4 linked regions of the Oreochromis niloticus genome follow. The protein of the gene in region 3 interacts with the protein of the main gene of each other region in a pairwise test. Links are inferred from orthologs where the notes say so. Each region holds a gene or a part of one and is shown on either strand. Other genes may lie near its edges. The genes, in order: myg1, ndrg4, arl6ip1 and snx12.

Region 1 (7,724 bases), on a different chromosome or scaffold from region 3:
TAATTATCACTAACCGCCTGCGAGGAAGAGAGCCCTGGCATATCTTTATCGCAGTGGTCATAAAAGCTATGGCTGATTATCATCAGGACATTAAGCTGACAAGACACCTGGAATAGGCTGATTACTCAACGTGATGAGACGTCGAGTGAATGCAATCATCAGGAAGAAATTCTACACAAAAAACAGAGCCTGTTACTTTATGATTCATGCAATCAGGGTGCTTCAAAGATGTCAGAGCAGAAGCCACCCAGAAATGTAGTTCCTCATCATTAGAGCTCAGATAATGAAAAGAAATCCCAAAGGCTGTACGTTGACGATGTTAAAGCGGGAAAAATCCAGGCGTAATAATTCCAATAAATTATTTTGGCTTGCTGGAGATGGTGCACCTCAGTGCTTGGAAGTGACTGGAGACTTTAAAGATTACGCTTCCTTCCATTGGTACATACGTATATTAGAGTCTGGCCGATATAGGATTGTTAAGTCTGATACCAATATTTGGCAATTTCAAAATCCAATAATCTGATATGTCAGCCGTTTTTACTTTTAGAAAAATAAAACCTAAACAGAGTGGCCGACAGGGAAATAGAGTTTTCCCTCTGTTGGAAAAACTATGTAACATCAACACTCATAACATGGCTGAGTGGTGTTTCTCCTGTATCTTCTTTACCTTTTAAAACTTTCTTTTATTGATCCTTAAAACTACCGATACAGACAGAAAACATGAATAGCTCATTTTGGCCGATATCGTCACACCACTAATCTGATTGGGCCATAATGTTTCTAACAACATTTGTTTATGTAATAAAATGCAACACCGAGTTTTTTTCAGCACTTGGGACTAAACAAGAGTTTAATCTTAAACTTGAAATGCAATTTTTCAGCTGGCATAAAATTAATCTGTGATATGATCCTGACCCTTACTGTTGATGAACAGTGAAGATTAATCTCTCCCCCAGTCTTAGTTCAGAGTACATAATATTTTAGAAATCTACAGCTATAAATTTCTCTCTTTTCAGCAGCTTACTGCCAGAACTGCACCTCTGATGGTGGTCATAGCGGTGCCTCTTTGGGTCAAACTCTCCCCCAACGTCCACAACAATGTCACACTCCGCCAGCTGTGCAGGGTCCCTGGTGCGAACGATTTCTCCATCCTGTGCAACAAACAGAAAGAAATATATGTCAAAATAAATTAATAATAATAATTATTTTATTATTTGTTTACTTGTATAACACTTTACTTTCCAGAAACACAGGATAAAAAAAACAAACTAGCATGAAATTAAAAAGAAATTACAAATAAATAAATATTAAGGCATATAAGACTCGAAATGTAATGAAAAACGTCAAATTAGCAAATCTAAAAGAACAGGATGATAAAAGAATATCGAAAGAAAAACATACACAATCTCATTTTATATCAAATTTATTTTTTAAAAACAAGGATTTAAAAGAAGACACTAATGAAGACAGAGAGCAGAAGATACTGTCATTCAACAACTAAAGAGACCAAAGAGCAAACCCTCGATCACCTTTAGTCTTCAAATGTGAGGTGGGAACAGTTAACACGTTTCTGCCTGAGCATCTGAGGCTGCTTGGTGTTTGGTACGGGAACAGTAGTTTTAGTATATATTCTGGGCCCAGGTCATTAAGGGCTTTAAAAGTAATGACTATAATCTGAAAATCAGTTCTAGAAGTAATGGCCTGCCAATGTAGAGTCATTAAGAGTGGCGTAATATGTTCAGTGTTCCTGGTTCTTCTAAGAAGTCAGGCTGCTGCATTTTTCACCATCTGAAGTTGATTTAATGCTTTCTGATTGATACCTGTTAAAAGACCATTACAACAATCTCATCAGAGGGAAAAGAAAAAAAACACATGAAAAATTAGACCATAGAAGCCCAGCACTGTGTTTGGAGGTCCAACCTTTAAGCTTTGACTGTATAAAGTATATGTCAATTCAGATATGTCATCAAAATGTTTCTGTTAAACTACGCATAAATCACAGACGTGCAGAGGTAATCAAATATGGTATTTATGTTACTAATATAAATTATAAAAATTACAAATATAAACAATACAGTGCCACAAAACAACGGTACAGCTACGACAGGTTATAACCTGGGTTTGGTCACAGATTTTATTAGGGCAGTGCAGCAAATCTCTGATCAGTATTGTATCTGATCAATATTATTTTATCACCCATATTAAGTATTGTACCATTTAGAGACAAAAGGTGCCATTAGGTTGAGATTAACTATTATTTAAAAAATTCACTCAAATGCTCTGCAAAGCTGGCTATACACACACACAAAAACTGTATTTTCAGTTTCAGACCATAACACTGAAATGTGTGACATATTCACCATACAACGGCTTATGCTGTAATCGTTTTTGCTATCCGTTTACACACAGCGCCCCCTTTTGGTGTGTTTTTTTTTTTTTTTTTTTTTTTGCATAACACTGGACCCGTCAACAGAAGATTACAAGATTAATTGTTTTTTCCTAAAATGCAGATGTGGCTTTATCCTTACGGTGAGGACTTCCTGGGAGGATTTAAATTCTACCTAGCTAGTAACGATGAGCACAGTGATTACATTAAAAAATTAAACGCACAGCATGGAGTTAGCAATAACCCCAAACATGTTTCCATCAATCTGCAGCGTGCTGCACCCACCGAGTACTCGGGTAGCTGCCGGAGGAAGAAACAAGCCAGAACCTCGTCGCAGTGGAAGGTCCCGTTGTGGGTTCCGATCTTTGTAACGGTCATGTTTTCGGTGCAGAGTCTCTTCGGCTCACTTGACATGTAGCGCGTTTCTCCTTTAGCAAAGTGCACGGGCGAACTAAAGCAGCTAAACCGCGAGAATACCTTTCGTGACACACTTGCTGCTTCACTCGTTACCAGAAAATATCTATTTTTTGTTAATTTAAGCGCCAACGAAAAAACACGCACGACCAACATTCAAAGAGTAATCCACGAGACGCGCCAGTGGCGGACACATTTGACAGCCGGACCGGATGTGGTGCTCCTGTTTAGAGAACTAAAAATGCCGGGTAACATTTTTGTTGTTGTCACCATTGTTACCGTTGTGTTGTTTGCCTTTATGGGCTTAAATTACTCACGCAGACAGTGATAAACAACACAGGTGACAACAACACAGGTAATCAGAGCGATTATATTATCGGAGAAGCTCGTTTACAGGAGAATGATAACTCAACTTGTGTACAGCAGAGGACGCTGCAGGGTTAAAAAAAAAAAAAAAAAAGCAGGACTTGGACACTGTATAATGCACAAATGGTTAATTATGTACTACTGTACATGATTTATTTTATTAAAAAATATATTCTACAATTACATAATAATAAAAAATAATTATGTTAAATTTACAAGGATTCACTGTTTCGTATTCTCATACAAAATAGATTTTTGTCAATGAGAGAGGCAAGAAAAGATACAAGGAGGTGAAGTGAAGGTGGAATAGTTTAAATGCCTGAGGTCAACTATCAAAAGCAGGGGACAGTACACAAGAAAGGTGAAGCAGAGAGTGCAGGCAGGGTGGAGAGGGTGTAGAGTCAGGGGTGATTTGTGAGAGAAGGATGGTAGCAAGATTTAAAGGAAAAGTTTACAAGATTGTAATGAGATGTGCTGTGATGTATGGATAGAGAAGGTGGCAGTGACAAAATGACAAGAGGCAGAGATGAAGACTTTCAGGCCTATAGTGTGAGGTAGTGCAATAAATAAATAAAAATAATCTCATATCTATTTTTAATGTTTAGCACTATTTGATATATACAGCAGTGATGAAAATAAAAAAAAATGAAGTTAAAGAAAAATGTAAAAGAAATGAGACAGAGATTGTGCAAAAGAGTAGGGAAATGGCATTAGAAAATAATAACATGCACACTTTAAATCTAAGAAACAGAAGCAAGAAGGTAAAATACAGAAATGTGATGGGGCTGAGGTTGAGCATCTTGGACACAAAGTTACTGAGGCAAGACTGAGACTGTTTGGACATGTACAGAAGAGGGATAGTTTACACTATTCAGTGGATCCTGAAGATGGATATGTAGGCAGGAGGAAAACAGGTTGAACGCAGAGAAGGTTCATAGATGTAGCGAAGGAAGACATGCTGAGATGAGATGAGCAGCCGATAGAACAAGAAGATCAAATAAAAAGCAACACAGACACTGTGACAGGCTGTGCATTTTTTGTCTGTGAAGACGTTGTATCTCTCATTCAAGAGGAATCTTCAGTTCTACAACTGATGGAGACTCCAGGTTTAACACCTAGCTGGGTTATCCCATAGGATCTCCTCCAGGTTGACGCCTCCACTATGTATTAAATACTTGGGACTCTCCATCAGTTATTTTAAAACTGAAAAAACCTCTTGGATGAGGTGAAAGTCCATTTGTCTTATTTTCAGCCATTCACAGCTTTGTGCATTTTTAGTGCAACCTGAGATCTTGGTGGTTACAAACCTTTTTGTTTTTTTTCCTTTCACAGTTATTTAGGCCACTGTTCCTGCTGGGATGACACAAGAAAAGGTTTTCTACCCTTTGCCCCGCACACTTCGCCACACTTTCATTAGAGTAGATAAAGTCATCTTTGGAGATTGATGGCTTAGTGTTTGTCCTGAGAAAAGCTCATGGGTGTGTGTCTTTCTAAATTACATCCAATCACTGTCCAGTTTCCATCTCAAGGATAATGTCAACAAAAAAGATGCACACAACAGAAGAGTCTCATCACAGTAAAAAGGTTAGTGCATTAGACATGTGCATATGAATAAATACATATAAATATAAATGCATATAAACATTTTCCTGGTCAGCTTTGTTCTACACTGTTTTACACCTTGAGGCGCAACGAACTGTTGTTCCTTTTTAAATGAAATCTACAATACAGTGACAGGTTTTTAATATGAATGGACACGTGCATAAATATTATTGAAACCTTGAGTTATTGCCTTGGACTGTTTTTCCTGCCATGCTGGAATTGGGATGGGATCATTAGTGAGGGTCAGGATCAGCGCTCACCCCCAACTCTCGTTCTCGCGGTATTACCTTCAAGGTTTATTGACAAGGTAATTAGCCAGATGGGACCCCAGTAGTAGCAGCAGGGCTGAACGGAGGTAGCACGGTTAAAGGGCTTTCCCGTGTGAAAAACCGCTGCTCTTTCCTGCTTTACAAACCGATCTACCAGCGGAAACCAAACAGCAAGCCTGCAAAAGGTAGGATTTTGTATTAGCGTTATGAATGCACAGCCTGCTTCCTGCAGAGCCTCATTCATTCTCTCGATGTTGGTAATATATTCTTCCTGTCCAGTTTTAATGATCGCATGCAAATGTATCACTGGCATCAATTCATACTGCAGCTGCTTAGCAATGCAGATGTTCCCTTAATATGGGGACAATGAGTCATGAAGTCTGACACATTTAAAACGGTAAATACAGTCAGAGAATATTTGCTGCGATGTTTGTCTGAGGTCGAACCACCAGGTGGCGCTGTGTCCCAGTCATTTAACCAAGTTGCTTCATCGTCTGTGTCACCAGTTCAGCGGGCACGTTGGCAAGTCTTTATTTCAGCCTAATGAAATCGATAAACATTGACTTGGAGTGGGGGAGTCCACAGAGAGGCCGGTGTAGGGTTTCTCCTGTAAAGGGACTTAAGCAGTCGACGCCCACACTCCATCATTCTATGTATTTCCTCTGAAGCCCCAATGTTATTCCTCAAAATACACAACTTGTATTTTATGGAAGACTAAGGGGGATTTTTTTAAGTGTCCCGCAGAAACGGAGCTCTACTCGGAGAGATTTAAAGGATATGAGACAAACAGAAAACAAACAAACAAACGTCGTGCTCACCTCCAAATCATTAAACAGCCATACTATTAATAGAACTCAAGCACTCGCAATTGCATATATAATACTATATTATATGCTGTTAAAGCTTTATTAAATATGCTATATGTGTGGTACTAAAAATGAATGAATGAAATAATGGGTGAAAGAACATGGTTAATGTAAGAAGTTATGCCTATCAGTCTGTTTTAAAGGTGGGGAAAAAACCAGTCCGATCCTTTATGTTCTCATTTCAGGGAAAAGCACAGTGATCAAAAGGTTAAATGAGTGTATTTCTGGGATCAGGAAAATGTATAGAAATAACATTTTGGCATTTACCATCCTATGCCAAGGAGACATTCAGCTGTTTCAGTTTAAATGGAAAAATAAAACGTCCAATTGTCCATCCATCCATAGTCATAGGGCAAAAGGCAGGGTAAACCCTGGGCAGGATATCACAAGGCTAAACATTTACAATGAATTTAGTTATTTTGTTGTGTTTTTGTTTTGTTTTTACCTGTGAACATTTAAGCATCGTCTTATTTCTGTCCATGCTGCCAGGTATACTGAGTGTATTTGGTGCATTATTGCTTTTGGACTTTGTAGCCTCTAAACAGTACCATGGACAGCTCACTCCTGACCTAACTGGTGAGTCCTTCTCCATCTTAGTTTTATGGGACTCCTTTTTTTCAGTTAAGTTAGTGATTCTTAATACAGCTAATATGTGAGTTGGTCAAGTAGGTAATTACCATAACCTGTGTACCTGTGTATTTGGTGACTGCTGCATTATCATGCTGAAAAATGGAAAAACGTCCCATCTGAAGTAGAGTTTTTTAGGTCTGCCACTTCTTCATTGTCCTCTTCTTGGCCAGGTTCCTCAAATTTTTTAAGAACACACTGCACCTCATGCTCAGATACACCAGGTTTTCTGCAAGATCACATAAGAGCGCTTTGGGAATCACCTTGTTGCAAAAATATGATTTCATGCCTGTCAAACGTGTCATCTTTCTATAGTGTCATAAATTCGACTAAAGCAAGAGGAACAAACTGTGTCTTTGTTACAGGCTGTTAGTAACCGAGTGCCTAATAATACAATTTAAAATTGGTTCTTTGCCAAGTTGTCTGTTATGTGTAGATAAAACAGTGGTTCATCAATTGTCTTAAGTGCATTTTTATGCTTTAGTGATTTGTATTATGGGATTTAACAAACAAACAAGCAAAAAGATGAAAATGATCAAGAACAAGGACTGGACTGAAAATGAGTGAAAAAGCAGTCAGTGTCCATCCAAAGAAAAACTTTGAAAGGCTTCAGAAAGACTTAAAAACCTATGATCAAGACCACTTTAAAAAATACAAACAAGTCTGGTGCAAAATGCAAAATATAAGAGAAAGTATAAATGTGTGTAGTGCTGTACTTTGTAGCAAAATTAATATTAATGGATTTTTTTTAAAAAAAACTTTTGCAAGAACTCCTTTTTTGGCAAAATGTAATGAGTTCCAAAGTTATTTTTTCAGAACAAACGTGGTGAGAAGAAACAGTAACTACTGAGGACATACAATTAAAGCAGATATGGGTTTTTTTTTTCATTGTTACCAATGCCAAAATCACAGCAAATCTCTGAAAGGAAATTTTAAATTAAAAAGGGAAGATCCAGTTCTTGTTTCTTGACTTCTGCATGGGGCACAGCTGCCTCTACCTGTTCCCAGAAAAGAAATGAGTCATGGTCACAAAAAACTGAAATAAACAAGATGAAGATTTTTTTTTTTTTCTTATCCAGCCTCGTTATACTGCTGACCACCCAGCTTTACTGTTCCCCATTGGCTTGTCTCAAACCATGAGATACAGTTGTGGGTGGTGACCCAGAAAACGTCACAGTGCCTGTGATCTGCTGC
Region 2 (7,507 bases), on a different chromosome or scaffold from region 3:
GTCTCATTGTCTAGCTATTGAAAATGCCACTGGGGGGAGGGAGATGGGGGGAGCGGTGGCCTGTGGAGCGGTGCAAAGAACCCAAAGAGCAAGAAGAGTTGTTTCCAAACAGAAGGAACCAGAAAGCGAGCAATGAAAGCCTCACATACCCGACATCTCTTCTAAGGGACAGTTTTGTTACCCCCATCTGAAATTTAGGTTAATCTTACTGTTTTGTCTAAGGAAATGTCTTAACAGAATAAAAGTGTGTAGTCGAGTGGTATATTGAGAGCTGATGTGACTGCTACGCACCTCACAGTCAGTTTAAGTTCTGCTCAGAGGTTAAAATTGGGGAATTAGCCATTTAGCCTTCCTTACTAAGTAGTTAAACGTTCTAGAAGCATAATTTCAGCAGTATGTGATTTCATGCGTTTGTCTTGTATTTTAGAGAAGAGATCACCACGTAACCACACTGTCAAATCTCACAACATGTAGCCTCTGACTTCAGCACTCTATCTGTTATCTATTAATTCAAAGTAATAAAGTAATCCCCATCCAAAAGTCAAACTTTTCTCTTTGCTTTGTTTCAAGCAATTTACTTGTGACCAAAGTATTGTGATTTGAACTAGTCGGTGCTTTATGAAGATCAACTTGTGGCTAAAAGGTCTTTAAGGTGTGAAACCCCTTGAAGTTTATGCTGACAATAGCAAAAATATCACCAGTGCTATCCCTCAGCCTCCCAGTAGACGCACGTTTGACATAAATTTGAAAATTCTACGTGAGATCTTTTCCTATTTAGGGTCTTCATAAGATTGTTAGAAAACTTCACCTCCTACCTTGATCTTCAGTTCAAGGTGAACAAATAGAAAAGGTTAAAAGATTCATGTGACTGCAATGTCCATTTGTTATGTGACTTTAAAATCTATCATCTTCTAGTTTATAAAGCATTTTTCCATTTAGCATGTAATTAAATAACAACATCAACAACACTAAGTCTAACCCTGGATGGTCTGGTCAGTGTTAAGTCCTTAATGAATTATATCTGCGCCTTATGCATGTGCAATTGTATGTTTGATATGCAGATGCAGATATATGCAGATAGCTTCCTAAGCAGTGGCTTCTTGCTAGCTTTTAAAGCTCCTCTGACTTACGGCTTGGTACTGGGACTTTCCTACTACTTCATATGCTTTGTTTATCTGAGAGGTTGTCTTAAATTTTTCATCTGGCTGTGAAATTTCCCCAATACCTTTGATTTTCGTGAAGTCAACAAGATGTAAAGAGCTGGAACCTGTGGCTAGAACCAGCAGGTGAAACATGGAAGCAGGATCGCTCGTATCTTATTGCCATTTTGGACACATAGTAACCCTTATTGTGCTTATAGGGATAGTAACCTTTTTACTTTGAGTTGTAGTGCAATACACAGTGAGTTGGATGTAGGGAGCAGTAAAATTACGAAAAATTATGAGCTGTTAATCGGGGTATAGTAGCAGTAGGTGACATGATTTAAAAGAAAAACCCAAAACTGCATCTCTTCCATTGGAAATTCAGCAAGATTTTAACTCATGTTGTTCATACTTGTAGAAAATTCTGGAATAATGTAATTAATCTATATCCCCAAAAAACCCCTCTGGCCAAATATGGACTAACTGGTGTGAGCTAGCATTGCTGTGTAGCTCGTGATGAACAAGAGCAGGAGCGTATTGCTCTTTGTAAATCTATTTATAAACTGCGAGCTGAGAAACAGACCCGCTCCCGAAGGGGAGACCAGCTCGGCTTCAGCGGCTGTTTCATGTTCTCAAGAAACAGCAGGAAAAATACGAGTCAATAAGTTTCATAGTAGCTTGAAATCTGAACATAGCAAAAGATGCATTGCAAGAAAATGATAAGTGGAGAGCAGTTGCTGATCCTACAGAGAAATTATGTAAGAGGTCCAAATAAAAATGGGACATCAACACTGTTGCTTTTTTAAGGATATGAAAAATGCACTTTAATCTGTTCATCTGTTCATTCTACTGCTGGTGTGACGCAACAAACCTCACTGTCCTGATCAAATCTGCATATACGTTAATGTTGTCTTATATGGTTCTTTAGTTTTTAAATGCGATCACCCAGCCTCTTTATTTTGACCACGATGCCCCGATGCCTTATGATTCTAATCTGTCAGGTCCTGCCAAGACCACTGAGCCAAATGCAGGCACTTTCAGGGCACCACTAACACAAGCCTGCACCAGATTCAATCAACTTTTATGACTTCCACCTACTGTCGATTCATCATCCAGCTGACTCAGTCTCCTTCAAATCCAGCATTGTTTTCTTTAGCACGCATCGCTCCCTCCCCTGCCATTGCCAAAGTCAGACACATCAGAATCAGATGATCATTAAAAGCATCAAGACTTTTTTTTTAAACTACAACTTTATAATCCCACTTCCCAACACAGGAAAATACAATATAAATGCAAAGGCTTTGGGTTTAATACATAATAATAATCCTGTCTGGTTTTCTAAATGTCGCACTTTGGTTCCTGTGGGGTCAATAAATTCAACCTCTTGACATCCTGTTCTCGCCAATGCAGAGGCTGGCAACAGGGGTGTGTATGTGTGTGTGTGAGAGAGAGAGAGAAAAAGTATAAAGCACAAAGCTTCAGCAGCAGCATTCACATACACCGTGCCAAAATTCCCGTCCTCATTTTAACATCCTCCTCCTCTAGTCCTCAAACACAAAGCAGCCTCACTGCATCCGAGCTCAAATCTGAGGGTAGAGTCAAAACACGAAGCTTCTCAAAGAGTTCACCTGCAAATGACTGTTTGCCACTCGGGTAGAAACTGTTGAATAAATATTACAATCCAGGCAGACAAAGCTTTACGGTACCTGTAGTGTTGTTCAGAGCTTCTGTGGCCGCAAAGTCTGGTGTCGCCGTGTTTTCTGTGTCCGTCCCTCAGGCTGCTACAGACTGGCTGAGTGTACGTCTCAGAGTGTTTGTGCGTGAATGTGTGTGTGTGTGTGTCTTCCTGTGGTCGCACTAGAAATGAGAGAGAAAGAGCTCTCTCACCCTCCCTCCCTCTATCTCCCTCCCCCTCCTGATGATAAACACAGAGCACGTGGCTTCACCAATGATGCAGCACGCTGACAATCACAGCACCGAGAAGCGAGGAGAGAAGTGAAGGATGAGAAAGACGCTGGTAAAAATATAACAAAGTGAGTCTGGTTAAAAGGAAGGCGTGGGAACGTCCGTCTTGTTCGTCATACGAAAAATCCAGAAATCTCTCTTTTTCCTCACCAGTTTCAACAACCAGTCATCTGATCTGCTTCAGACTCTCCAGGTGTGTTGCAGGACACATGAGTAGGTGCACTGCAGAGTCAGAGGTCATATGGATGACTACAGTGCCTGCGCTACTGTGTCTGTGTGCAGGGGGAGGGGCATATAACAACACACAAGCGTGTTTGAATGACATTCATTGACATTAAGTTTAAATAAGTGCCAAACATTATTCTGATTGTAAATCTAAGCCTCATAAAGATAAAGCCGTACATATCTTTACTCAACACGATCTGTTTCCTGCCTTTAATGTTCTGTGATAAATGATTTAATTTACTCGTGTTTTTTCGATTAGTGGTTCTCGAGAGAACTACTAAGAGTCTGTAAATGTGTCATTGTTTAGTTTTTCTTTGCCTACATGTGACACATGTGTAAATTGTACCTATAAAACCAGCCAGGCTCTGCACCGGTGCCGTTCTGCAGCCCAGAGCTCGCAAGCTTTGAATTTACTCGGGATTTTGAAACCAGGCAACAAAAATACATTCATCCAAATCTGGAAGAACATATCCTTTTCTGAATGTCCAATTCTGACACGGCTCTCAGACGTCTTCACGCCCACAGACACACACAAACGCACACACACTCAACCCAACAGCCCACAGGCAAACAGAAGAGCTATTTTGTCTGGGTAAAGCAAGCGTCAAAGGAGCTTACCATGTTTGGGCAACTGGGGCATGAAGTGATAGGGGCACTGATAGCTGCATCATCCATGTGTCTCTGGTAGAGTACTGACTTCAGCTTTGCTATGAATACAGTAAGGCTTGTTTATAAGAAAAGATTGTGTTTAGGCCTGCAATTTAAACTTGTCCACCTTCCATCTCTAACCCCGTGTTCCAGAGTTGGGAGTGTGTTGGGAGTGTGTTGTTTACAGGATTGGAGAGCATATGGGACGGTCACATAATCCCCTTTTTTGGGCACCTTACATCGCTGCCGGCCCAAGAATAAACAGAGCCTGATATTGTTTAAACATTCGAAGATTTGGGTAGCTCCGACCTGTTTCCTGACATCTGAATCACGACTCACATTTGTGATGTTACCAGAAATTGATGTGCCTAACCATTAGAGACAATCACAGATGAAGCAAACACCAGTGTGAGTGATGAGGCATTGAAAAGAAACTCATCATAGCTCTCTAATTACTTTTTGTTAAAACTAGTAACATTAAGCATTAGTTTCCAGCTTCATTTTTTCTGTTTCTTTACTTTTAGAAACCATTTGCTGTTCCTTTTGGTTCCATGTTTTTGGCATTGTCATCTCTGTGTTTTGGAATCCAAGCGTAGCCTGAGGTACCCGACCGTAATAGGCTAAATCTAAAGTACGTTTCATTCAATAAGATGGCAAACGCAGGGTCACGGAGCAGGTAAGAGCCAACGAGGAATTTCCCTTTACACCCAGACACCATCTGTTGGCCATTAGCAAGAAAGTAGATTTAAGGCACAGTGCTCGTACGTCTGTCGTGTGCATTAAGAGCCCTAATGAGATTATGAAGAAGCACCTGCACGAGGATCACAGCACCCACAACACTTGAAGCAAACTAAGGAGGAGAATGATGCCAGCATTCCAGCAATGGCTAAACTTTTAGTTTGGCAGAAGCTGTCCCTCTGTGGGAGAATTAACATCCCTGCTGCTGTTTACGTGATAAAGGAAAGGCTGCAAATATCAACTTGATATGACTAAATCATTTCACTTAAAGGTAGAGTAAGTTACTCTTCTCATAAGGTGAAGCTGTAATGTAACACATAGTTTATCAGTAGTAATCTGTTAAAGTTACAGTGCGTAAAATCTCACCGCTAGATGTCAGTGCATTACAGATCGCAGTCAAGTGAATCCTGTTATCTTACCTCCACATTCAAGCACATAATCGTAGCTACGGTGGCCGCTGTAGGACAAACATGTTTTGGTCAAGAGAGATCAAATACATCACATTTACCTCGTGCAGCTGTTCGAAGTCGGGACGGTTGTATGTCTAATTTGCTGACAATAAGTAATTGTGACAGTATCAGGAATAATTAATAAATAATGTTTGTGATAAAGCCCTGACTTCAGTTCAGAAGATGAGGTGGGAGGAAGAGGATCACGTGGTATTCAGGTATTCAGGTGCTGGTGTCGGCGTCTCTTTCCTCGCGTTTTCACCTTTTTGCTGACGTTTTATGTCAGATGATAAAATATGGGTATGGTCCTGCATAACTTGAATCTGAAGGTGCAGAGACGAAATAAAATATGCCTCCACGGCACGAACATGCCTACGAGTTCTCTTCTCCTCCGGCTTCAGTGTTCTGCGTTTGTGGCCGGTGTCTGGCCACATGCATAAGACTGTATTCGACCACTGTATTCAACAAACCAGCCTTATCCTGTGTAGTTTTTAATTAATACAATTATGCATTTATTATATTTGTTAATTTTTAGTATTTATGAGAATGCATCAGTTTGTTGAAAGACATAATGAGACACATAATGACAGTACCAAAAACTTAACATTAAACACTGCCTGTAATCATACTCCATGTACACATATATTATTACTTGCTACCAAAACCGTGTGGCTGTTTAACATGATATCATTCTCAATAGAAAATATTAGATAACAACAGAAAATACATATCACATTTTAGTTGAAACAATTGACATTTATGATCTAATCACAAGCATCTGTGTCTACAGGCAGCTCCCAAAACCTCGCTGTCAGAGCGCTTTCATCAAATGTTTGCTGTTGCTAGGCTGTAGGACTGTGGTCGTCATTGTTGGATTGTAAATAACTGGTTAGAAAATAAAATAGGAAGCAACTAAAGGATGAGGATCATCTGATCTGTCAGGGCAGGATGAGAATCTTCTTAGTATCACAGACAGTATAACCTATGTAGCAAACCCTGAGCTGACCTGTTACACAGCAGGTCCAAACCGATGGCGAGCTCGCCAACGCACTCTCTGCTATGTAACTCATCTTGATTGAGCAGCATTTAAGAATCCCTCTGAATCCAATCTAAATTTAATGTATTCAGTTTAAAGGGATGCATGACTCAGACCGTCATTATGTAAAGCTATGCTGTGTCATTCTATAAAGCACTAAATGTGATACAGATAGAGCTTTTAAAAACATATGTGAGTCCAATTTACGTCATCACATGCAAATTTAGAGCATTTAGCAGATTTGGCATCCATATCATGCTTGTGATGAGATTCTCCTTTCTTTCAGACCTCAGATAGAAGCCACTTTTCTGTTTTGTTGCAGTAGAGAGCATTTACAGCAATGCCACTAATAAGCTGAGGCGTTTTAATTGCAATGATTTTATTTGCCACAAAAGTCAGCTCAGTTTTATTTTAATAGCCCAGAATCACAAATCAGAGATGCCACAAGAGATGGAACAATTCAGCATCATATAAGTGGTTATTATTGAGCAAAGTTGTAAGGTAAATACAGCCTTTCTGCAGTATTTGATACATTGCACAATTCATCAACAATACACTTCAACAAATTACCCCCACCAAGTTACCTTCATTCGTTTTAGTGCCACCTGAGGACGAATTAAGATTTCACACAGATGAGTCATATTTGAGGAGGAGGAGGGAGCGAGGAGGGGGGTGAGGGTGAGGGTGTGGAGTGCTGGTGGGCAACTCAGGCCTGTTTTTCAAAAAATATCTATTTGGCAGGACAGTATAAAGAAGGTTTTGTAAATGGGAGTAATTACTGTATTAATATTCGGTCTGCCCTCTCATACAGAGTTCACAGTAATAACAAAATGCAGAACAGTTTGTTATGTGATCACTTTATCTGACTTTAGACTGTATTACAGATCGCTTTGATTCTGGGTAGTGGGACATATTTTGTTATTAGATAGTTGATGTTTCTGCAAATGTGTTTAGACATTAGACTCTGTGGCAGTAATCACGATTATCATCAGATGACTTTAAGTTTTAAATGTACTTTAAGCACAAACTTTGTTCCTTTATTAACACAAGTCTTTAGTAATTATAATTTCTTTGGTTGTTTTTCTGGCACCAGCTGTACAGTGAAAACACTTTGGGTTATAGACGACAGGTGTACCCCGTACCCAGTTCACATGACATCATTGTTTTTGAGTAAACCACTAAAAAAAATCACCCAGCATAAAGTTGTTATTAAGGGAGAAACTCTTCATATAGGCCAGTTTTGTACCAGCTGTGAACATGATTTCATTGTGGTTCACAAGTTTTTGAGGATTTCCGCTCTGGTT
Region 3 (7,413 bases):
AAACTCGGACACCATTTCAAGATGAATGCATGACTCATCCTGCTGTTCAGCTTCCCATAAAGAGTGTGTGATGTGACCGACTGACAAAACAGGAAAACCTGTCTTCATTGGGCCAAAGCAAATATGACCGAGCTCTCACCACTTATTGGAGCCAAACACTCGGGGGGCGAGGGTCGGCACCAAATAGTCAGCCAGGCAGAGCAGCATGACGGTGCAGGACAGGCCGGTCAGCACTGATGGGTCCAAGTAGTAGATGAGCCTGGAGGACGAACACAAAACAGGCAGAACGGGTTTGAACATTTCATCGTTTAAAATCACGCCTTTATTTTTATTTTGTTACAATTTGGGGATATCTGCTCATGAACGCTGGAGCTGCAGTTTTACAAAGCACCTGCAGCTGAAAGACATGAACACTGAGGGTGTGTGAAACAAGCAGGAAGGCATCAGAAACAGTGCAGCAGTGTTCTAGTCTGGATTCACCTTCAGTAGATTTCAGGAATCGCTAATAACGGCCCAACCTAAGCTCATTTAGCAGAATCTGCATTGTTTTGCTTTGTGTTTCAACAGTGTGGAAAAGATTAACATTAATCTGAGTGTTCTGACAACCAGCTGGAAAACTGTAATTAGGACACTGGTTTTACATCACTGTAGGCTTATATTACTTGTCACAGGCCTGCTGATCATCTTAATTAGTAATAAGTCAAAACTCAATGCCAGAATCAGCCTGCCAAAGCCTCCATTTCACCCCGAGGGACGGTTACACTGCTGTTCTTTCTGTGGTGACGCCTGCTTTACTAACCAAGAGCACAAGTGTCTGAAAGAGAGTTGTGCGACTTGTCAAGTTTAACAGACAAAATTATTGTCATTTTGGATTTCTTCGGTTCATCGATCTAAAAACAACTGAGGCTGTTGGTTAGCAGTTTTGTAATTGCAGTGCCGGGTGGCGCTCCTCTGACAACATCATGGTCTGAGCTTGAACACTACAATAAACAGTTAAAATGTCTACCGTGGTTTTTCTAGTGGTTTTAATAAGAGCCAGAGTGTGCGTGTGTGTGTGCGCGTGTGTTGACCACAAGCAGCACACTGAAAGTGGACCTGTATTAGCTCTGCACCCTGCTCACTCATGGTTGTAATTATACGACTCATTTACGTTTACAAAAGCAGACAAAACTCCAAAGCTAACTCAGTTCAACAGAGCAAACATAGAAATGGCTGCTGTGCACCACTAACACGTTACACATCCTAAATTACACCATTTAGAGCTGCTGCGCAATTCTAGCAGTATGTTAGCAGACAGGAAGGCCTCTGTGCAGTACAGACAGATGAAGGATGAAAAACGAGGGGAGATACTCCAAGAGAGGAGATTTCACCTGGAGACAGAATCACCTGTACACAACAGTTGTAAGAAAAAGTGACATTACAACCAACCCAAAAACAGAAAAGACTTACAGTTATGATGTGATTATAGCCCTATGTCAAATACTTAAAGTAGTTTTTGAATAATTTATACTCCTGACAGAAGAAGGTAAAACTACATAAAGACCCACTTAAACAAAATATACTACAAAAAAAATAAATCCATGGAATCCACCAGAATCGTAAAATACTGTGATGCAAATCTTTGGTCAACCAACCATCAGACTGCTGATTAAATCAGGAAGATAGCTGACCAAAGACATAACACTGTGTGCTGTTAGCTTTACTGGGGGTTTCAGAATAAACCTCTCTATACTGGAAGAAACAAATATGAGAAATGCTACAGTGGTTTACTTTGCTCAGCCCATCTGAGTTCAAACCAGGCTGCTTTTAGTCGCTGGCAGATGTAAAATATAAAAATTTAATATAAGCCTCTCCCTGCTCTCAGATAGCCATCACTGCTGAGAGGAAGGAAACGTGTGGTGCCAGCTGTGTAGCGCACACTCTGTAGCAGACTCACAGGAAGAGCACGGTGGTCGCACCCATCAGCGCTCCGGGGAACCAGGGCTTCTCCCAGCGCAGGACCTGATCCCCAGCCAGGATCACCTCTCGCCAGCACTGCAGCTGCTCCTCCAGCTGGGCCGTCTCCTGGGCCTGAACACACAAACATTTACACATTACCTAACTGACCATCAAACTGTGTGATATCAGTGTGATCTGAGAGGAGCGTGTACTCAGGAGGGCAGTCTCTCCAGGAGTTAGTATAAAGGTGACAGTACTGTGCTGCCTCTGGAAGAGCGGCTAGCACCTTTGAAGTCATATGATGTGGGTTTATCCTGCTGTGTTTCATACACAGAGCAACTGAATGTAACGATACTCGTTTATATGGCTCTCAGTTTGTGTGTTTTGTGGCCTAGAAGTCTATTTGAGAAGCAAATTAATAAACAGGGTGTGTGTCTTTGGTGATAAGACGGCGCAGTGACAGAGCACTACACGTAGAAATAACCGGGGACAAACACAGGCTGTCAAACCACGTCGAATGAGCGTGTGATGACTCGATCTCAGTTTTTTTTTAAAAGCTTTAAAATGATTTCTGCGTTAGGGCGAGGCAGCAGCTCCACAAAAAGGAAGCGTCCCCGCTACTGAAGCTAAAATAAGCATGCTAACTAGTCAGCTAGCTAAGGTTAGCTGCGGTCAGCGGCAGCACGGACGGATAAGCGATCGGGGTTAAATCGCTTAGCTTAGACTTCTCAGCTGCCCGCATGTGTAAAGTTCACACTATTTACACAAATCTCTAAACAGCGCAGTAGTGTTAGCGCCGTCAGATTAGCAGCGACGGGTAAGGCTAACGCTCCTGCTGCAAACACGCCTACATCGAACACGAGCCTTTAAATTCGCCATTGTGGGTTTTAAAAATGCTTCATACTTACCATCAAGTTCATGCTTTTGTTGTCTCCTTCCGCCATTATCGCTAAACTGAGCGGTCTACTTTCTAATGTGGAGTTCTTTTAAGAGTTTTCGGAGAAACGACCCACAGAAGGACAGCACCCTCCGCTCCCGTTAGCTTCAGCGCCACTAACGGTCGAGCCGAGGCAGGATGTTTTTAACTGAAAAACATACGTCACACCTGTCCATAGAGGCACTCTGGGTAATGGAGTTCCAATATTGATCCTTGCCTGTCGAAAACATCTTTTTTTTTTTTTTTTTACATAATCTTTTATTCACAATCATAAATTTTATCAAGATAAAATAAAAAATGACAATGAATATATTCAAAAATTATTTATTATTCTTTAAACTTCCCATATTCATAAGAACAAATTAATATAACTACAAAGAAGTGTTAGCTAATTAGCTAAAGCGAAAGATTAATACATTAATAATAATTTAATAAGATACAATCTGATATGAAATCCAAGAGAGTTAAAGCATACTTTTAAATTAAAAATATTAAGTTACTGCATAATAGAGCATATACGTAACAGAGTACACCATTTCAAATTTAACAACAAAAAATAGAATTTAAAATGTAACGCAGCATTTTAAATTCATTTTAAATGAACAACAGCTAAACACATTAAGAAAAAGGAAGCATTACAGGAGCTTATTTTAATTTGGCATTTTAAGAATAAAGTTAAATCCCATTTTTAAAGAGGAAAAAAGAAAGAAAACTTTGAGAAAATATCAAAAAAAATTATAAGTTTCTCTTTACTTTTATTGAAAAAAGCGTTACAGAAATGATGTCACCATTAAAATTAAAGGCATGCTCATTTTTGCGCTTTACTGACACTTTCTGCTGAGAAAATACACGTTTTTTATTGCATTTTATTACAGTTTAAAGTTTGTAATGAAGTATCTGCAGCGCGTTAACACAGTCCAAAAGCCATTAAACAGCCCCCTCTACAGGATAAAGATCATTTTTAAATTCCACATCCACCTCGGTCTTCTGGGACAAGTAGAAACTTGAAATGTTATCAGGTTAATGAAAACTACCATTTATTTTAATTTGGGAGATTTTATAAATTAAAAAGAAATCAGTATTGTAAAATGAAAGGAAACTAGTTCACTACAGGAAGGTCTTGCTTTGTTTCTTCACGTGATAATCCAGCTTCTTTACATCCTCTGCTGTGACCTCTATCTCTACGCCTTGGTGTTGTACCTACATTATCATAATAATGTTGATCAACATTGCAACTAATGAATCATGTTGTTGTCATAGTTTTGCAATATGATAGGATTTTTTTTTAAATTCCTTTGTTTATATAAAACTTTCTTCTGGAACAAATGGTCTGCAGTCCAAGTGTTTTTATACAATTTATACAATACAATAAATATATGATCAATTCTGGTTTAGTGTTAGCCACCGTCATTTAATGCTAACTGCACGCTCAGACAACATCACTGGTCAGTTGTGACGCTGATCTTGGACCACCATCGTTATGATGATGTAGGAACAACGCCAAGATGTCAGATCATGCTACTGTTACGTCCGTCTCCCTCATTCACACACGTGTAAAGCATTCCTCCCTACTCTCACTACAAATCACAATGTTGTCTGTAAACATCATAGTCCATGACCCTGTGATCTCCCCCACCTTGAATCTCATGCCTGCACACCTCAGGACCCCTCATCACTGTCCTCGTTCATCCTCTTAACATGTCACATAGACATAGACAGCATGAAAATAATTTATTCCAGCCTTGTGTTAAGACAGAAGGAAGGGGGAGTAACAGAACTGTATTGAACATTTTAAAAAGGAGAGAGATGCAGCTTGTCTTCTGTTTTTGGCACTCAAAGGACACAAACCTAGTTAGGCCTATAAGAAATTATGTTCTCAATACATTTCTCCTCATATTTTTGTAAATTCTTCATAAAATAAACTCATGTTCTGATCTATATATAAATAATGTCAAAGAGATTTGACATCCCAGGCTCATCTTTACCAAAAAGTGGAGTAAAAGGACTTAACATCCAGCTCCTTTATTGTTAAAGACACACTGAGTTTTAAAACAGAGTACATGATTTTGAAACAGTTAATGATTTATAATTATAATCAGAAAATAATCAAGTATAAGTCTGATCAATATAATGAATGAGAACTGTAGTTTGAGTTTAGCGTAATAACGTCCCTTACAATCCAAATTTCAGTTTTTGAGATGCCTGATTTTTTTCACCCAGATTCCAGGAGCATTGTTATGACTATGATGTATCCTTGACTCAGTGTGTATGTGTGTGTGTGTGTGTGTGGGAGAGAGAGAGAGAGAGCACAGTGGATAGAGTGTGCGTGTAAAAGAGTGAAATGTGACTCCGGCCCATCATCATGCATGATTCTGAACAAAACAAGTGATACTGAGTATACTGTGAGTCACAAATGCCGAGTCATGCAGAGAAAAAGTATTCCTAACTGAGTTAAAAAGAGATCAAGTTAGAATCATAAAGAGTGATGATGTTCATCCTACAACAACATAAAAACTGAATGAAAAGTAAAGTATAGTCATTTGTGACTGATAATGAAAGTGACTGAACTTTGCTTTAAATCATGTATTTGAAAGGCTGTAGAGAGAGAGCAGCATAGAGTGATGTAGGTGTCATAGATGTCTCGTGGAGATCAAGGAGGGGAGGATAGAGAAGAAGAACATGCACAAACACCCCATGCAGACGGAATAAGCTGTTCTTCCTCTAGTTTCAGTATCAGAAGATCTGGGATTGGGAATTCACAGTTGGAAATTACAGCAAAAAACGCCAGCTGATCAAAGTGCAATACTGTGGACTCACAAATTGGATTTATATATTTTTTGGCCTTTTTTCTGCTTATTTTTGTTGGATTATAACGTCAAAGCATTTGTCTGTTTCCTGCTGGATTGCAACTTCCAAGGATTTGACTCCCTTCCTATTTGGATTTTATCGACACGGAACGGATGATGACGGATGTGTCTGAAGGACTGCAGCTGACCTGCAAGGCCACCCAGGCAAGCACACCTTTAGAGGGAGCAGGATCGACATTCAGAGGACTATAAAGCTGGCTCCATCCAAGGTATGCAGTGCCTACTGGATGATACCCATAGGATCAGAGACTCGGACTTTGCAAACAGCCGGTTCCAGACTTTCATGTATTGGGGATAACGACAGAACGGTGTAGTTTTTGTTTTGTTTTGTGAATATGGTTCTGTCTTTCAGAACCTGAACGCGTCAGTCTTTATCCGCGCCTGCGTGCTTCTGACGTCACTGTGAGTCTCGTTCTTCCTGCGGTTGGAGACCAGAGGGGCTATCTGAAAGCTAACGGAGCTAGCAGCGTTTCTTTATCTCTGCATTGTTTTAAAGACACTGTTATTATAATCTAATTTCTGTGATCGTGTGATTGTAAGGGACCTTATTAACCGCCAAATTATCTCAGACGCCGTTTTCTCTTCGCCCCCGCCCGGAGAACAAGCTGGTACGTATCAAACACGTTAGCTATATTAGCTTCGCTGTGTGTTGAGAGGCCTTTAGAAACATGGCGTTACATTCGCCAGTTGGTAAGGAAACCAAATGTCAGAGAAGCTGCATTTACTCCTTTAATATATATATATATATATATATATATATATATATATATATATATCTGCGTATCACTTCGGTTCTGTTGGCGCTAGTCATCATAATTGAGCTTATTTAACAATCAGGCGCAACAGCGGGCCTGTTATGTCGCACGTGTTAGTGCGCCAAAAAATTACTGTTAGCGGTAATAAATTCAGATCAAATGAAGAAGAATTCACGTTAAACACGAGCGGAGACGCACACCGGCCCCCACAGCGTGTGGTAACCGGTTCAGAGGCTGCTCCAGCCTGCGGAGAACCGAAGCTTCAAACAAACCCGTGTCAACAAAAAACAAAAAGAGTGCGAGAAACGGATTTAATGACACACCTGTGACAGTCTGAGGCTTTAAACAGGTAGTAGCTAATAATCTTCAGACACTGCCAGTTTTATAACGTCTACCATTGCATCAGAATATTTGGTTATTAGCAGCGGAAGCGTTTTATGAGAAAAGTTCTTGTTGTCGAACCGTAACCACATCCTGAAAGATTTCTAAAAGTTATCTTACCTCAGTGAGAATTTCTTCAGCTGCTGTTCAGGATCAGGGAGCTGTCGGCATAATTGTAGGAACAAATACTGTCTGTACAGGTTTTCCTACTCCTACCTTTTATACTATTGTTTTATTTTTATTTATTGATTTTAACCCGTATAATAGTGTCTTTATTTTTACACTAATCTTGTTTTTTAATTTAAGTTAAAGTATTTTAAGATTATTTTTTTTTTAACGTAATTCTACATTTTTGTTTAATATATTTTTACTTTGGATCTTTACTTGTACAGTACTTTATTCCACACACATTTTTAAAATTTATTTAATTTTTCGATTTTTTTTTAAAATTTTATATTTACTTTAATTGCTTTTGCAGACTTTTATTTAAGCATAAAGAACAATTTAAAAAAGTTAAACATGCCTTCCAGCACTT
Region 4 (7,746 bases), on a different chromosome or scaffold from region 3:
AAACGCACACAGAAGAGAGGAGTCACAGTTGTCTGAAACATCGTCAACATGTTGTGTGTGTTGCCGAAGTTCATGCTCTAACTCCAAGATAAAGACAATATGACTTTGTAATAATATCCACAGAGTGAAAGAAAGAGAGACAGAGAGACAGACAAAGAGAGAGATTAAGAGAAGTTAGGAGGGAAGAGAAGGCAAGAGGCAGTCCGTTCTACAGCCCCAACATTTTAACCCCCAACTGCCCGTATCCCTCAATAATCCTAGTGTCGTACTTTTCCAGGAATGTAGTTACGGTCAATGGTTTCCTCTTGAAGAAACATGTGAAGACAGCGCTCGTTCTGGGCCAAGGGGTGACCTGCAATTCTATACAGAAACACAGAAAGAAACATTGTAAACTCACTCTCTGCTCATTTTAAAATGCTTTTCACGAATGCTGGGGAAAAGGAGCCATGGATTTGTTGCTTGGTTCTCCTTTCCCAGGCACAGATTAGATTAAGCCTTGTGTTGGGCTACACAGTTTTGACAACAAACAGCTCACTAAAGTGGATAGAAAAACCTAAAGAAACAACAGCAATAGCTTTGATACAAGTTCAGCGATAGAAAAAACACAATGAAGTCTTGCTCACGTCTCCCTCCACCCAAGACTCCCGTCTATAATGTAATTTTGTGACTAACTGACCTGTTGATAAACTGCTCCAGGCCCGATCTTCGCTCCTCAATGAACGACTCGTCAAAAAGACCCTCATCACTGCGAAAGGGCAACTGTCTCTTCAGGGCCTTGCCCGGCAGAGGTGGTACTACAATCTGAAGGAGGCAGGGGTCGACACAAAGAACAGGGAAAAGAAAGAAAGAAAAAAAAAAGTCCACACTCAACATGAAACAAAGTCAAAACTGTAGACATTTACACTGGCAAATCTGGGCCCTCATAACAATTTTATGTAGAATAGCCGTGCAAGTGCATGTAAACATTTTAATCACCATATTTTCATTTCAGAAAATAATAATAATCAGATTACTTATTTTACATGGTCAAGTCACACAATGCAATCCCTGCACTTGCACTGTTAATTATTATTCACTCACCTTACTGTCTCTTTCCAGCTCATTCTTTAACCACTCAAAGTCGCTGTATCTTCTCCTCACACAGGAGTCCTTTAATTTGAAAATGGGAAGGTTCGTCTACAAAGAGAAGGCAAAAAACAAAACATGTTGGTTAATTTGAAATTCAACCATCTGCATGAGATAGCAACTGACATGTAAGGAACAGACCTGCACTACATTTCCAACTATTATCATTTTTCTTCCCCTATTTCACCAAAAGTTTTAACTTGTCTTTTATCTGGCTTCAAATCAGCTCTGCTAATCACTGGCAAAGGTTTGTTCTGTACAGAAAAAAATAAATCTATACTGTGTTTATTTGAAAAGCAATTAAAGCCACTTGTAAAAGCATAGATTATGATTGCAGCGACCCTCTGCTTTCCACTATTGAGCCCAGTGAGAAATCAAATCTTAACTGGACTGATATGGCTTTTTGGCAGTTATTAGTTAACCACAGGCCCCTGACCCAACCTCCCCTACCATGGTCTATTACAATTTTCAAGCACTGAGAACAGTAAGTTGTTCATATTGTGCAAGGCAGACTCTCCGCAGTGGCACAAAATGATGATTTGCAGGAAAGGGAGGCACGTTAACATTCAATTACACAATTATAGTGCGTCTGTACTGTGTCACTGAATCAGCTTCCTGAAATGTCCTTAGATTTAGCTGTGTTAGTGATTTCCTACGTCTCACATTCTTTTAAGCTTAGCCGTCTTTCTAGTGAACAAGTTAGTTAAAACTTGTAACTGTTACATTAAATTTGACTTACACAATTTCACAACAGTCAAGTAAAAGCCACTTTACAGAGTAACGTAAACTACCTTGCAATACTATAGAGAAAAATCCAACATTTAACTCGACCTCTTCATATTTCAATAATCACAAAACACTTTTATGCGTTTTGTTCTACCGTTTTTAGAAAAACACCAACACTGTTAGCCTTTTTCATTCAGCTTTTCTCTGAATATCAAGATCAAACTGTCGAAGAATATGAAGGAATAACGTTTAGTTACTCCTTCATATATCCACATACTATCCACTGATGTATTTAGCTCTAGAAATCCAGACAGACAAACAATGTGACATTAAATCAGTCTTAATTTTCTTTACAGCGCATTATCACATATAGCTAGCAGTTAGCTTCCCGGAGTCTGCTGGAAATTCCTGGTTTTGTTTTAATGTGTTATTCAGTTTCCTTTTACTTAACGCAGACTAGCTCACAAACAATACTGTTAGCTGAGGAGAAAATTAACTACAGTACTGACTTTGAACTAGTGACACTGCTTACATTCCCGTAATTGCACCTTAGCATACCTTCAAGAAACTTCTACATGTCAGCTAGGCCGCTGACAGTCCCAGCTGCTCGATTTTTACTCGCGCCCTACCTCGAGCTACTCTACGACGAATAGCGACAACGTCACGGCACGGTGACCCTAGCTGCTAAGTGGCTAACTGGCTAGCATCGGCACTGTAATTATTAAGAGTTAGCTTAGCGCCAAAAGCTAATGCTGCAAGGTGTTTGAGGTTTACGCCTCGATACCTACCCTCATGCGAACTTCGTAAGTTGTGTAACGGCCCCGTCCGACTCCAACGATTTGTGGATCATAAACGTCTATCTCCAGGAAATTGCTGGGGGGACCGTAAGCATCAGTCAGGTCCTGGGGCTTGGAATTCAACCGGCGAGTATCGGCCACCACAGGATCTGACATTTTGTCGGGTTGTGATTTTTAGACGACCAACGGAGAATGAGCGTCAAACCAACTAAATACACAGTGAAGTCTTAAATGTCATCTGAAGGCATCAACTGATTTCGATAGCCGACCGCTTCAGCTGGGGAAGTAGCCGACTTGTGTAGCTCTCTTTGCGGGGGCCAGCCGCCTTGCGCCCTACCCTTCTTGAATCAGAAAAATGCGTTGACTCAGTTCCGTACTGTGCGGGACACTCCGCACTCCCTCTAATGGACACACAGATATTGCTGATTGTACTGAGTTTCCTTTATACCCAGAGCAATTCACAGGACTGAAGTTTTGATGAAAAAACACAAAACAAAACACATTATTTGTATTTATTTATTTATTTTTTAAAAACAGAAGTAGAGACGTACAAGGGCCAGAGGGAGGTAATGTGCAAGCTAGCAAAAAATATATATGACACAAAAATAAAGGTAACAAAAAACATTAAGGCAAAGAAAAAGTACAACAAAATTGTTTTAAATAGATATCATTGAAGTTATATTTGTATACAGGTAGAGAAAATTATTGTTTTTCAATGTTTTTAAACCCTTAGAAAGAGCACAGCAGTTACACATGTTTATAAAAATGATAAAAAGATTTTTTTTTTAAATCAACAAAATGATAATTTGGTTGTTAACTAAAGACAAAGTGTGATATTAGGAGAGTATGAATGATGGCCAAACACATCTATTTGTTTGTCTGTTACAAAACATTTTCGGCATAAGTTTTACAATAACACTATTAGCGAGTCTCCAAAAGTTGAATCTGTTCATCTGGACGTAGCGAGTACGTAAACGATTGTATCATTCATACATATACTGTAACATTAACAGTAAGGTGTTTGGTTAAAAATAGTAAGATATCATGTTTTCAAATTGTCCAAATCTGCAGGGAGTGTTTGCTGTTCCCTGCTTATTCTACAGTTTTAACGGTTTACATGTGACAAAAAAGATTATTGAGCAAAGTATGTAAGTATATATTTCTACACTTTTTTCAGTAACCTCAAAATGTGAATGTTTATCAAAAATATAATAATATTTCCAAGCTCAGTTTTCACAGTAGAATAAAAAAGCTACTGTAAGCTGCCCTGAAGCACAAAGACCTTTACTTATTCTTATTGTGGGTTTTCAATAAGAAAACCCACAATTCACTTCATAACTTTTGCACTGTCCACTTCCTGCTATGACAAAACAAATTTCCCACGTGTGGGACTAATAAAGGTTATCTTATCTTATCTTATCTTTTCCTCGAGGTGGTAGCTGCACTACTTAAGTTAAACTCCTTACTTTCCACTGAGTAAAGTTGGGCTTGTATGTATTAATATGTAATTACTTTCAGCTCAGCTTACGGGACACAATACTGTGTCTCTCCAAATGAACACTTCAAGAATCGTTCCTGCTTTAAAAAGAAAACAAAAATAGAAAAAAATGATTCAAATGAAAAAAACCCCCAGTTTGAGGGATTGTTCCTGGTGCTCATGTAGGAAGTCAACAAAGGATTATGCGTACATCAAAGCATCAATTAGTCAAATATTTAGAGTCTAAACAATGTTTTCAAGAGTAACCGTAAATACTTCTGAGCTGAAGGATTTTAAAAACATATTAAACTCTTTATGAACTTTATTTACTTCTAAAATCTTAATCGCATGCTTTGGTTTTACCTCTATAACAAGCATTGATCAAATTAGGTTCCTGAACCAATTATTGGGGTTCTTCTGATAGTAACTATTGGGCATACCGTTTATTTAGTCAAATTAAGGTATCTCTTGCAGTCATGCAGGAGGTTTTTTGATTCATGTTTGTGAAATCCAAACATGGCTCCTAAACGGAAGCTTTTTGCACCTCCTCAGATGAAACTGGGTTAGAGGGAATGGGGGCGGACAGGTCTTCTGGATCTTGTTCGATGGAGCAGTCGGTTTGGTCGGTGGTGACAGAGCAGGTGGAGCCGTCGGAGCTCACCACATCAGACTGGGAGACATAGTTGTACTCACGCACAGGGCACGCACGCTCGTTGTAGTTCGGTTTAAAATTGTCTTTCAGGCCCTTGGAGAACTGAAACCAATCCTTAAAAAAGAGAGAAAAAGACCCTCACTTGTAACGAGTAATTGCTTCCCCAGAGTTCGACAACTAAAATCACTCAAACACAAGAGTATTTCTATTTTTAGCCATTAAGTGGCACTATTGTCAGACTTTTGGTCCAACTCTTGATCCAGCTCTTGATCCAGAGATCTTAAAATCTGTTAAACTGACTGCCTGAACATCTACAGACATTCAAGGTATCCAGAAGATGTAAACCCAGCTGTTCTTTAGTGCCAGCACGGTCTAGTCAATGACATAAATAAACAGCTACTGAACTAATTGTCATGAATCTTAATGTAAGTGTTAACATTAAAGCTACTAAAATCCATTAAGAAGCTCATCTGTCATTTAATTCTTCCAGTAACTTCAATAGCTTTCCAACTTCATATTAACATCTACATAAAACTTTCAGGGAGTGGACAGAACTCTGGATGCCACTGACCTCGATGTTATGCAGGAATGGAGATGGCTTGGGAACCACGGGAACGAGGATGATTCTGAGCCTGTATGGGAGGTAAGGAAATCTTTAGCATTCAAATTAACAATGCAACAACTGCATTAGACTTTGTTGGTTTCAGAACTCCAACTGAGCGTGGCTGGCAGACAGCTTTTGACATTAAGGTCAAGATTGATAGGTTTGTAGCTTAACCCTATTCGCTGGAACGTTGAAGACAATGTAATTACACAGCAAAGCAAGACACGAGTAGGCAAAGTTCTTTATGTTTCTCGTGCACGGGAGAGAACCGGACAAACACCGTTCCTTCGCTTGACCCCAGTTGCTCTCGTCCGCTCCCCCGTAACACTGCTCTTTTATTGAGGTTACATGAATATACATAGGTTCATTAACATATGACGTCTACATACACACAAAGAGTACCTTGCCTGTGCGTTGTGTAAGTATGTGTGTGTGTGTGCATGTGTGTGTGTGTGGGGGGGGGGGGGTCAGAGTGTGACCCCATAAAGACTTCCCTAAACCTGCTGGTCTGGAAGTCCAGCAGTTCATCTAAACAAAAAGCACTTAGACTAAAACTGATATACGTGTGTTTGCTATACCATATATCAGTAAGAGCAGATATAACCTCTCCCGTGCTCCCAGAATGTGGGTGTGAATGCCAGAACACTCTGGAATGCACACAATGCCTTTGCAGACTATTAAGGATCAAACCTCTACCAACATGACATTGATTATAAAACTCTAAGCATATATATGAGTAGATATTTCTAAGCATAAATGACAATCAACTATACAAATCTAACAAAGATCATCCAATATAAAGGTGCAACACGCTCCAGATCCAGTCCACCCCGTAGATGGATGATAACTGTGATCTTTAGAAATAAAATACTAATATCCCATAACACATACATAGCTTTTGATTAATTAAAAATGCAATCTGTCTCTCCAACCATCTTTAAAGACAATTAATGGTAGTCATGTGGAACCTAATAATCCCCCATATTCACAAGTGATCGCCACAGCAGGGAGCTCTACATGTTTGGCACATTTTTACACTGTGTGTCCTTACTGATGTAATGATATTCTGATGTTCTGACAGGCCTAAACAACAGAGTGGCCTCAGATTGAGTCAAATTGCTGATCTAAAATATTCTTTGAGTCTGCCGCTGTCCGTGTCACATATACTTCGGGAACTTTATTTCCCAAATGCACAGCGTGTAACACATTGCATTATCTGTAAATTCTGTTCTTTGATTGCTTTGCTGGTTAATTTGTTTCAGTGTTTCTGGAAGGAAACTTTGTGGGCTTAGCTTACTTCACAGGTGTGTTTAACGTCAAGCTTTTTCCTTTTTGTATTATTTGAAGGTTATTTAACGGCAGACTTTTATAGATCAAATAAGTAATGTGTAGTTTTGAAGATAGTAAGCGTTTCAAAGCTAGATCTTGGTTATCAGCATCCATATTATGAAATTTAGCGACAGTAAAGTAATTTCCCTGTGCATTTATTGTTATAGGTATATGTTGTTGTTAATTTGTTTAGAGAAGCAGTCATAGAGTTGTAAAATACATCCAAATGATCTATGAGCTGATCCTAATAAATCGTGGGATAACCAGGGTTGTGATGAAGGTGGTTCAGCAATTTATGATGAATATACGGTGAAAAATGTGTAATGGTTTGATGTCTGTACTGACAAATGAGAATCAGCAATGGTAACAGTAATTAAAAAAGGAATGTTTGTAACTTTGCATGATTGCAGATCATTTAGAAGGGATCTTTGATCAAAGCACATCTTCCTGGAACAGAATTTAGTCTTGTAGGCATCTCTATGTAATGGACAGTATCTCATGTAATTCCCTCTCTTTCAAAATAACAGAAAAGTGACAAGAGCCGTATGCAAGACAAAGGTTATTGGAAGTTATTCTGCTTGAAATAAAGTAACTCTGTAATATTTTACTGCCAAAAATAACAAGTACTTGTCGTGTACTGTGGTCTTCTGCCTTCAGAAATGTTGTGTGTTTCCTGGGTTGTGTGAGATCTGTCAGATGTTGTGCAATGGAAACTTTCCACAAGACAACAAGCCTTTGATACAATCTAAAAACGATCTTTAATCTTTTCTCTGGGTCACTCGTTTGCACTCGTTTTGGACGAGTGATCTGCATTTGTGTTTGGTTGATGTTTTTTTGCAGCCTAGATTTTATACACTAGTTCACACTGGATATATTAATTGTTAATTATTTGTTTACATTTACTGTACTGATACAGTAAGTCTGGGGTCTCAAACATAAGGCTTGAGTGCCAGAATCGGCCAGGCGAAGGCTCCAATATGGCCCACTGGATGATTTTGAAAAATATGAACAAGGACATACATTTTTTACTTTTAAC

The links.
Region 1: the proteins of arl6ip1 (region 3) and myg1 interact in binary tests that used the Homo sapiens proteins (3 or more experiments, as listed by UniProt). The two-hybrid records come from large-scale screens. The link is inferred for Oreochromis niloticus from reciprocal best matches to the Homo sapiens genes ARL6IP1 and MYG1.
Region 2: the proteins of arl6ip1 (region 3) and ndrg4 interact in binary tests that used the Homo sapiens proteins (3 or more experiments, as listed by UniProt). The two-hybrid records come from large-scale screens. The link is inferred for Oreochromis niloticus from reciprocal best matches to the Homo sapiens genes ARL6IP1 and NDRG4.
Region 4: the proteins of arl6ip1 (region 3) and snx12 interact in binary tests that used the Homo sapiens proteins (3 or more experiments, as listed by UniProt). The two-hybrid records come from large-scale screens. The link is inferred for Oreochromis niloticus from reciprocal best matches to the Homo sapiens genes ARL6IP1 and SNX12.

What each region holds. Positions count from the first base shown.
Region 1 is NC_031970.2:5,668,006-5,675,729, forward strand, and holds the start of myg1 (MYG1 exonuclease), read right to left. Parts: upstream 3,022-7,724; 5' UTR 2,957-3,021; coding exon 2,672-2,956; intron 1,152-2,671; coding exon 1,039-1,151; intron 1-1,038. UniProt on the Homo sapiens protein: 3'-5' RNA exonuclease which cleaves in situ on specific transcripts in both nucleus and mitochondrion. Involved in regulating spatially segregated organellar RNA processing, acts as a coordinator of nucleo-mitochondrial crosstalk.
Region 2 is NC_031972.2:4,222,154-4,229,660, reverse strand, and holds the start of ndrg4 (protein NDRG4), read right to left. Parts: upstream 3,004-7,507; 5' UTR 2,849-3,003; intron 1-2,848. UniProt on the Homo sapiens protein: Contributes to the maintenance of intracerebral BDNF levels within the normal range, which is necessary for the preservation of spatial learning and the resistance to neuronal cell death caused by ischemic stress.
Region 3 is NC_031969.2:32,733,595-32,741,007, reverse strand, and holds the start of arl6ip1 (ADP-ribosylation factor-like protein 6-interacting protein 1), read right to left. Parts: upstream 3,013-7,413; 5' UTR 2,883-3,012; coding exon 2,847-2,882; intron 2,071-2,846; coding exon 1,937-2,070; intron 260-1,936; coding exon 140-259; intron 1-139. UniProt on the Homo sapiens protein: Positively regulates SLC1A1/EAAC1-mediated glutamate transport by increasing its affinity for glutamate in a PKC activity-dependent manner.
Region 4 is NC_031975.2:19,206,740-19,214,485, forward strand, and holds snx12 (sorting nexin-12), read right to left. Parts: upstream 3,020-7,746; 5' UTR 2,805-3,019; coding exon 2,640-2,804; intron 1,177-2,639; coding exon 1,081-1,176; intron 802-1,080; coding exon 677-801; intron 361-676; coding exon 258-360; 3' UTR 243-257; downstream 1-242. Other genes in the region: uncharacterized protein LOC109203860, read right to left, coding at 4,649-4,891, 5,349-5,409. UniProt on the Homo sapiens protein: May be involved in several stages of intracellular trafficking.